Linked DNA regions of Macaca fascicularis. The protein of the gene in region 2 binds, or shares a complex with, the protein of the main gene of each other region. Links are inferred from orthologs where the notes say so. Each region holds a gene or a part of one and is shown on either strand. Other genes may lie near its edges.

Region 1 (3,750 bases), on a different chromosome or scaffold from region 2:
AGAGGTTAATACTAAAAAAAAAAAAAAATTACCACAGTTTACACATTTTTTTATCTGAATGTACATTTATAGTACTTGAACCGAGTTATTTTCAATACACTATTCACATTAACAAAATTCAAAATAAGTTCATTTCTAATTTTTCCCCCCATGTAGAATTTTGATAAATGCAAAACTTATTTTGCCTAAAATCCAACTCTTGGGCTGCTGTTATTCAGCCTAAATTTTTATATAAGACTGCAAATGTTAGCCAAATTTAAAAAAAATTTTAATGCAACTTTCCACATTGTCTTCAAACTCAGTAAATTCCACAATTTTAAAACACAAAAACCTTTCACCGTGCCTACTCACATTTTTACTAAAATCCCTACACAAAGCCATACATTCTGCTTTTCATTTTACTTCTCCAAGCTGCTGCCTTCACCAAATAGACTCCACGAGCCTCCCAAGTGGTATCCACCAATATATGTGATTCTCAAGGAAAAGTGTTAAAGAGTAATTAATTCAATTGGTACGAAATCTCTTCTTTTACAATTTTACCTTAACTTTAAAAAGCCTTTTCTTGATGGAGATGAAAATCCTTTGAGGAAACGGTTGTCCTTTACATGGACTCTCCATCAGCCCCATAAGGTGAGTGGCATAAAGAGGCATTTTCTCTGACAGTCTCAGTTCCCCAAACACTAGTCCTAAGCTTTTGCATGGATGATAAATTTCACACACAAACACCCGGAAAAGAAAGAAGAGAAAGAAACATACCTGGTTTATTTTCTAAACAGGTTTGATAGGTTTGGTTCACTTGGAAGAGCAGATTATTTACTTATAATCTTTTAAAACAGAAGTGGCAGCCAGAGCACTGGGTAAATAAAAACTTCACAGTTTTAAAACCCTGCATCTTAACTCACTTCCCTTTGGTTCAAGGGGACGGCACAGCAAACCCCACGGCAAATGAGATTATGCAACAGGCTTTTTCGTCCCCACCTTATTCATCACAGGCTGGTTAGAGGTGTGCTTTCTCCAATCTGAGACACCCACGACTTCAAAACGCCAAGAACCCTTGCAGCTGATGTTTTCTAAACTTCTTTAGGATTTTGCAGTATCCATTCATTTTCAGATCTACTTGCATTTTCTCTGGTTCATTACTGGTATTCTTTAGGAAATAAACCCAGCATCTGAAGATATTTCCCTCTGTGGTGTTCCATTACATGAAACTACACGTGATACACAGACCCTGGGCTTTTTTATTTCTCACGTTTTGCAGCTAGTGTAAATAAAGAAGTCACTAGGTATCGGGCCCCCCAACGCCAAGACCCGAGCCCCTGTCCGAAAATTGAGGGCTTTTTTGGTTGGTTGGTTGAAGAAAGCAGCACCGTCACCACCCAGGTGGCCTCGCTGATTACACCAAAGGCGAATTGGGGATAATGGGAACAGTCAGGCCGGGGCCCCACTTGGCAGGCGTGTTGTGTAACACTCGCGCCTGGAAGTGAGCAGCTTCGCCCGCGAAGGTGCCGCGTCCCGCGGCGGCCGCTCCTCTCGGCGGGGCCCGGTCCAAGCCCGCTCGCAGCGCAGCGGCCGGGAGCGCACCCACTGCGACCCCGCGTCCAGCCGCACGCCCCCTTCCCGCTCCGGCCAGCCTCCAGCCAGGCCTACACCCGCGCTTCAAACGCTCCTGCGGCCCCCGGCCGCGGTCGCCCCCACGCCGCCTCCCGAAAGGGTGGCCGGTACGCCCGGGAAGGCAGAGCCGGCGGGGCCAGAGCGCGGCTCCCCGCACCGGGAGTCGGGGCGCGCTGCGGAGCGTCCATGCGGCCGGGCGGCAAGGCGCCCCGGGCCCCGGACCCTCCCGCCCGCACACCCAGCGCGGCCCGCCAAGGCCACTTACTTTTGGGGCCGCCGACCTCCCAATTCCCTCAGAGGGAAACGAAAGTTGTCACGGCGTCTCCCCTCGGGCCCCCCTCGCCTCCCGGGCTTGCGAGGCGCCGCCGCGGAGCCGAGAGGGCGGCTGCGCTCCCGCTCGCGTCCCGTCCCGTCGCTCTCCTCCTCCTCTTCTTTTCACTATATTATCTTCTCCTTCTCTGAGGGGTGGGTGGGGGCGGGAGGCTTAGGAAGAGAGGAGACGCTCGCAACTTTTCTTCACTCTTTCTCTTCCACCCTCCCCCCCAATCAGCCTTCAAAAAAAATGTCGAAGGAGATGAAGAACTTAGGGAGGTAAAGGTGGGGGGTCGCGTTGTGAAAGCGGGGGCTGAGGGGAGGGAGAGGTGGTAATAATCGTTCAAAAACTGATTAAAGCCCCCCGAACACTGATACATAGAAAGAGGGGCAAAGGCGGGGGGGGGGGGTGGGGTGGGGGGTTGGGGGAAAGAGAAAGAGTCGCTGGTCAGGAAACTTCAAGCGCGGATGAGGTCATTGGTTTAAAAATAAAGAGATGGCGTCACTTGAAACCAATCCCAGTGAATGAACTCAGCGGAGCCCCGGGGAAAGGAGGAGACAGGCGAGGGCAGGGCGGTGGGCGCCGGGCGGGGCCGCGCGCCCGCCCATCCCGCGGCCGCCCGAGGCCGGAGCGCGGCTCCGCGCCTCGTTCCGGCCGCTCGGGGAGGGGTCAGGTCATGTTCTCTTCCCGAGTCCGGCGACTCTGAGGCAGGTTCCGCGGGCGCCGCTGGGAGGAGCCGGAGCAGCCGGAGGAGGCGGCCCCGCGGCCTCCTACCCCTCCTCCTCCTCCTCCTCCTCCTCCTCCTTCCGCGCCCGCGCGCCCGCCGCCCCCCGGGCTCGCGGCCCCGACCCCCTCCAGTGCTGCGCCCCAACAGGTATCGGAGGGTTTTCTCCTCACCCAGACCCAGAACCTTTCCCTCCTCCTTGAGTTGTTTCCAGCTGCCTCACCAACATCAAAAAACGCAAACACTGATTTGAGAGAATTACAATCGCTCGGTAAAAAGCCTGACGAATGCAAAAGGCAAGGCTCTGCCATCTCTCAGAAATTACAGGTACTTCAAGAAAAATCACACTACTGTTGTCAGGCATTCAGCTACCTATATGTTTATGGTGAAAACCCCCTCATAAATGTTCCTACATTACTTTACTTATATTTACAAATACAAGGATAGCAGCCTACATTTTCTTTAAAAATGTTTTCTACAGGACGCAGCGCTGAAACATCTTTAAATCAGACCGGGGTTCACCGCCTCTTGAGAGGTACAAAACCCTTTATTGATTTAACTCCACGTACCTCGTGTATTTTATTATTTGAATTCATTAAAGTCTCTTTGTTTTGAGATGATATTACACACTTTGGAAAACGAGAGACCTGAGGTGGTGACAAACCAGGACTTGGAATCACTGAATAGGACAATCGGAGCTTTATTCCAATGTTCTTTGAGCATTTGAGCATGAAGCTGCTTCTACTGAGAAGTACTCACGTGGATATCACATAACAAAGATGTGATTAATGACGGAAAAGCCCCCTGCGAGTGGACTGCTCCATGAGCCAGAATTTATGTGTAGGGATAATCTAACTCTTAAAATATTCCGTTTGCAATGTGCCGGATTGGGACACTGGACCCTAAAGGCACTGTTTGTTGTGGCATATCCATGTGCACCCTGCCTAAAGCACTTTTTTCCACTAGCAAAAGAACTGAGAAGCAGGTTTGGGTGGGTTAGAAAGATAATACACCCCTGTTACTACTTTTCTGCCTTTAAGTCCTGCAACTAAAGGGCATTCCTTATGATTGGTAATCATTGAAGGTTAGTGTTGCGGGGTAA
Region 2 (3,650 bases):
CTCCATCCCAACAACAACAAAAAAGCAAAAACAAACAAACAAAAAACCTTCTTAAGGTTCTTAAGTAGACATTCAGACTCACAAGGCACACCACACGTAATCTTAATGGTGGATGCCACATCATCACCACTATTTATCATCTTCTTTGGGTCATGGAATCTTCTGAGAATTGTAAAACCCTCTTCTGAGAAAAACATACAAACAAAAAATATTGCATCGAATTTCAAGGAGTCTGTGTTAATTCCTGAAGAAGAAAATTCTGACAAAGAATCCCTGATTACAGAGTATGACATTTATATTGGTAATAAGGTAAAACAAGAGAGTATGTTGGAATGAACAACAACTGGAGACAAGTTTGTTTGTTATAGTAACTTAAGGCTTGGAAGGAGAAAAATAGAAAGCACTGATAAAGGAGAGAATAAGAGATGGTCTTCTTCAAAGAAACAAAAAGGAATGATAAACATTTGCAATATGAGGATTTTTTAAGAGAGAAAATAGCACTCCTCTGGGAAAAAGCACAAAGAGATTAAGGCAGAAGAACCGACACTAATTAGGAGTACTAACTAGGCAAAGCCATCTGTAATTAATGGCTTTGGCAATTAATTTTTCTTTCTGTTATGAGCTAAAACTCTTAGGTAGATCTTGAAAAAGGCAGTCTGTGGGTAATTACTGACATGCACCTGGGGCTAGGAGTAAGAGATACAGAATAAAGGTAAATGTTTTTAAAGCAATCAAAACCCCCAAATATATTCTTAAACAAATGAAAACACTGTATCTCACTGATTTTAAGATGTACTTTTTTTCAGTTTAAACTCTGAAACTGACTCCATCTTATAATCAATGGTGCTGGACAACTGACAGTGTTTTTTTTTCTTTGTGGCACATAATGGTGTGCCTTACAACTGCTGGCCTATTAAGAGTCTATGACCAACCTGGACAACAGAGTGAGACCCCATCTCTACAAAAATTAAAAAAAAAAAAAAATTAGGCTAGGTGCAGTGGCTTAAGACTTATAATCCCAGCCCTTTGGGAGGCTGAGGCAGGGCAGGAGGATCACTTAAGCCCAGGAGTTTGAGACCAGCCTGGGCAACATAGTGAGACCCTGTCTCAAAAAAAAAATTAGCCAAGTGTGGTGGACAGCTACTGGGGAGGCTGAGGCAGCAGGATCACTTGAGCTCAGGAGTTTTGATGCTGCAGTGAGCCATGATCATACCACTGCACTCTAGCCTAGGTGACACAGTGAGACCTTGTCTCAAAACAAAACAAAAAAACAAGATTCTATAAAATACTTCATGGTCTATTGTAAATTAGTAGGATGTAAAAATATCAGGTTAATGCTTTCATACATATTCAGTACAGAGCTATATCTGTATACATATTCAAATGCATATTACATATTCAAATGCAGCAGACTCTATCCAGTTTTATTGTTCTGTCATTTTTTTAACTTTATCATGGGCTCTGCTAACCATGGGTTTCCCAAAGTTCACAGAAAATCAATCTCTAAATCTCTTCAATTTCTAAGAAAGAATCAAATTCATCCTTAGCAAAACACATTTATAGATGGGTTACTTATTCATGTTTATACCTCCCCAGTCCACTTTGGCTTCCCAGGATTTAAAGACAACTCTTAATAACAGGTCTTCTGCCTCTATTTTAAGATGAGGTAAAATGCAGGGGGCGGTGTAGGAGGGTGGGAGGAAGGGGGAGTGATTTACTCAAAGTCACACAGTTACAAAAGTGGTCAAAACACTGAAGGACAACAACACAAATGGAAGTAAATGGGACCTAAACATTACCTGGCCCACATGTCTCAGGGGACCTTTCGAAGAAATATTTTGAACACTTCCATGACTATCAAAGCATGATTAATTTCAGCCACATTTATAAAATAGAATAAAACTACTATATTAGATTTACAAATATTAAAAATTAACTCATTCTGTTGGCAAGGGTGAGGGTAAAGAGAGGCTCCTATACAATATGGATGGAAGTGTACACTACTACAATTTCTTTGGAGAATAATTTGGAAATAACTGAAAAATATCCTTTGGCTCAGCACATCTCCTTCTAGGATTTTTCTTCCAGGTATGTTCTCATATGTGAACATGAATACGGCAGAGTTGTTTCTAACAGCAACAGACTGGACACAATTTAAATGGTCATCAAGAGGGAGATGGATATACAGTGTGACACATTCATACAGCAGAACACTAATCAGTTATTAAAGCAAGAGAGGCATATATGTGAACCAAAACAGAATAACCTTCCAGATATCTGATTATATCAACAAAGCAAGTACATATAGCATATATCGTACACAACCATATGTGATTTTAAAAGGGTGGAAGAAGAGAGGTGGGAGACACTAAACACATTTGTATGTTCACACACCATAGAAAAACATGAGAGAGAGCACTAATGTGTCTGTGTCTGGGGTGGGAAACGGGAACTTAAGAAGTTAAGGAAGGAAGCAGACTTACTGTCCACTTATGTAAAAATATTAATATTAACAAATTTCAGTTATGCACAGAAAATGTCACAAATTTCTCTAACATGACAATAAATCACCATATAAAAACCAGAAGCTCCTTCGCAGTTTTCCCTCTAAGAATCTGATGAATGTACCTTTCCACTCTTCTATTGTGTGTTCCCTTTCATCTAACTGCTTGTCAGGGATCTTTGGTGGTGGCTGAAAAACACAAGGCAATAATAATTGAGTCAGTATGCTGGGAGTATTTTAACTCTTTGTAGTTATTTGAAATATTAGCCAGACAGATGACTTATAAAAATGTATCATTAGATCAAGACTGATCAATCATCAACTTTCTTATATAGACAGAATAGGAAGACTCCTTCATTGCAGGAAAAAAAATGTTTAACTGTCTTTTTCTTTTCTTCCAGCTCTTGAAATTGCCACATTTTATTTATATCATAGATCACAGAATTCCGTTTTCCTTTGGATATAGTAATTTCTTTTATAACTGAGTTAGGATGTTCCCTCAGAGCATTCAACATCCTAGTTCTCTGGTTAGGGTATCCAGGCAAGATTGCAAAAAACAGTGGGAGGTGACTTTATTTTGTGTAGGAGGGGCTCAAATATGCTCATTAGTTTATTTGACGTAGTTTTCATGAAGAAACAGAAAAACATCATCATCATGTATCTACATTTTTATTTAAAATTAAAAGGTCTCCTCCAAACCTAACTGTAATTCTAAGAATGCAGTATGTTCTGTAAACATTAAGAAAATAACTTACAGCTTCTGCTTCAGAAGGATCATACCAGACATTGATGTACGGGTGTTGGAGAGCTTCATCTACAGAGATCCTTTTAGATGCATCTATTACCAGCATTTTGGATAACAAATCCCTTGCCTGACTGGCTGCAAACATAATGATGTTAATGTACATATATTTGTAAAGGTTCTCAAATTATTAATAACTTTCAGCAATTTGAGATTATTTTTTATTTTAAAAGCATATGTTTTAAAAATATTACTGTAAAATTATTTTATACATATGATTAAAATATATAAAATTAAAGAAAAATAAAACCTCATTTTTTTTCCCACCATCCAGAGAAAACCTTGGGTTATGTCCCATAAGAATATGAATACATATAAACACACGAACACATACACACACACCCC

What was found. The genes of interacting proteins can lie anywhere in the genome.
Region 1: the proteins of MAPK8 (region 2) and DUSP16 are in contact, whole or in part, in a crystal structure (PDB 4YR8), measured with the Homo sapiens proteins. The link is inferred for Macaca fascicularis from reciprocal best matches to the Homo sapiens genes MAPK8 and DUSP16. Residues at the interface, in NP_001310257.1 of Homo sapiens: Arg189, Val196, Ile197, Leu198, Gly199, Asp229, Ile231, Trp234, Gln253, Thr255, Val256, Thr258, Tyr259, Val260, Asn262, Arg263; in NP_085143.1 of Homo sapiens: Phe215, Leu267, Asp268, Tyr271, Lys275, Pro279, Ile281, Ser282, Pro283, Asn284, Phe285, Asn286, Leu288, Gly289, Gln290, Leu292, Asp293.

What each region holds. Positions count from the first base shown.
Region 1 is NC_088385.1:15,327,203-15,330,952, forward strand, and holds the start of DUSP16 (dual specificity protein phosphatase 16), read right to left. Parts: upstream 2,663-3,750; 5' UTR 757-2,662; intron 1-756. UniProt on the Homo sapiens protein: Dual specificity protein phosphatase involved in the inactivation of MAP kinases. Dephosphorylates MAPK10 bound to ARRB2.
Region 2 is NC_088383.1:57,634,974-57,638,623, reverse strand, and holds part of MAPK8 (mitogen-activated protein kinase 8), read right to left. Parts: intron 3,384-3,650; coding exon 3,259-3,383; intron 2,693-3,258; coding exon 2,629-2,692; intron 1-2,628. UniProt on the Homo sapiens protein: Serine/threonine-protein kinase involved in various processes such as cell proliferation, differentiation, migration, transformation and programmed cell death.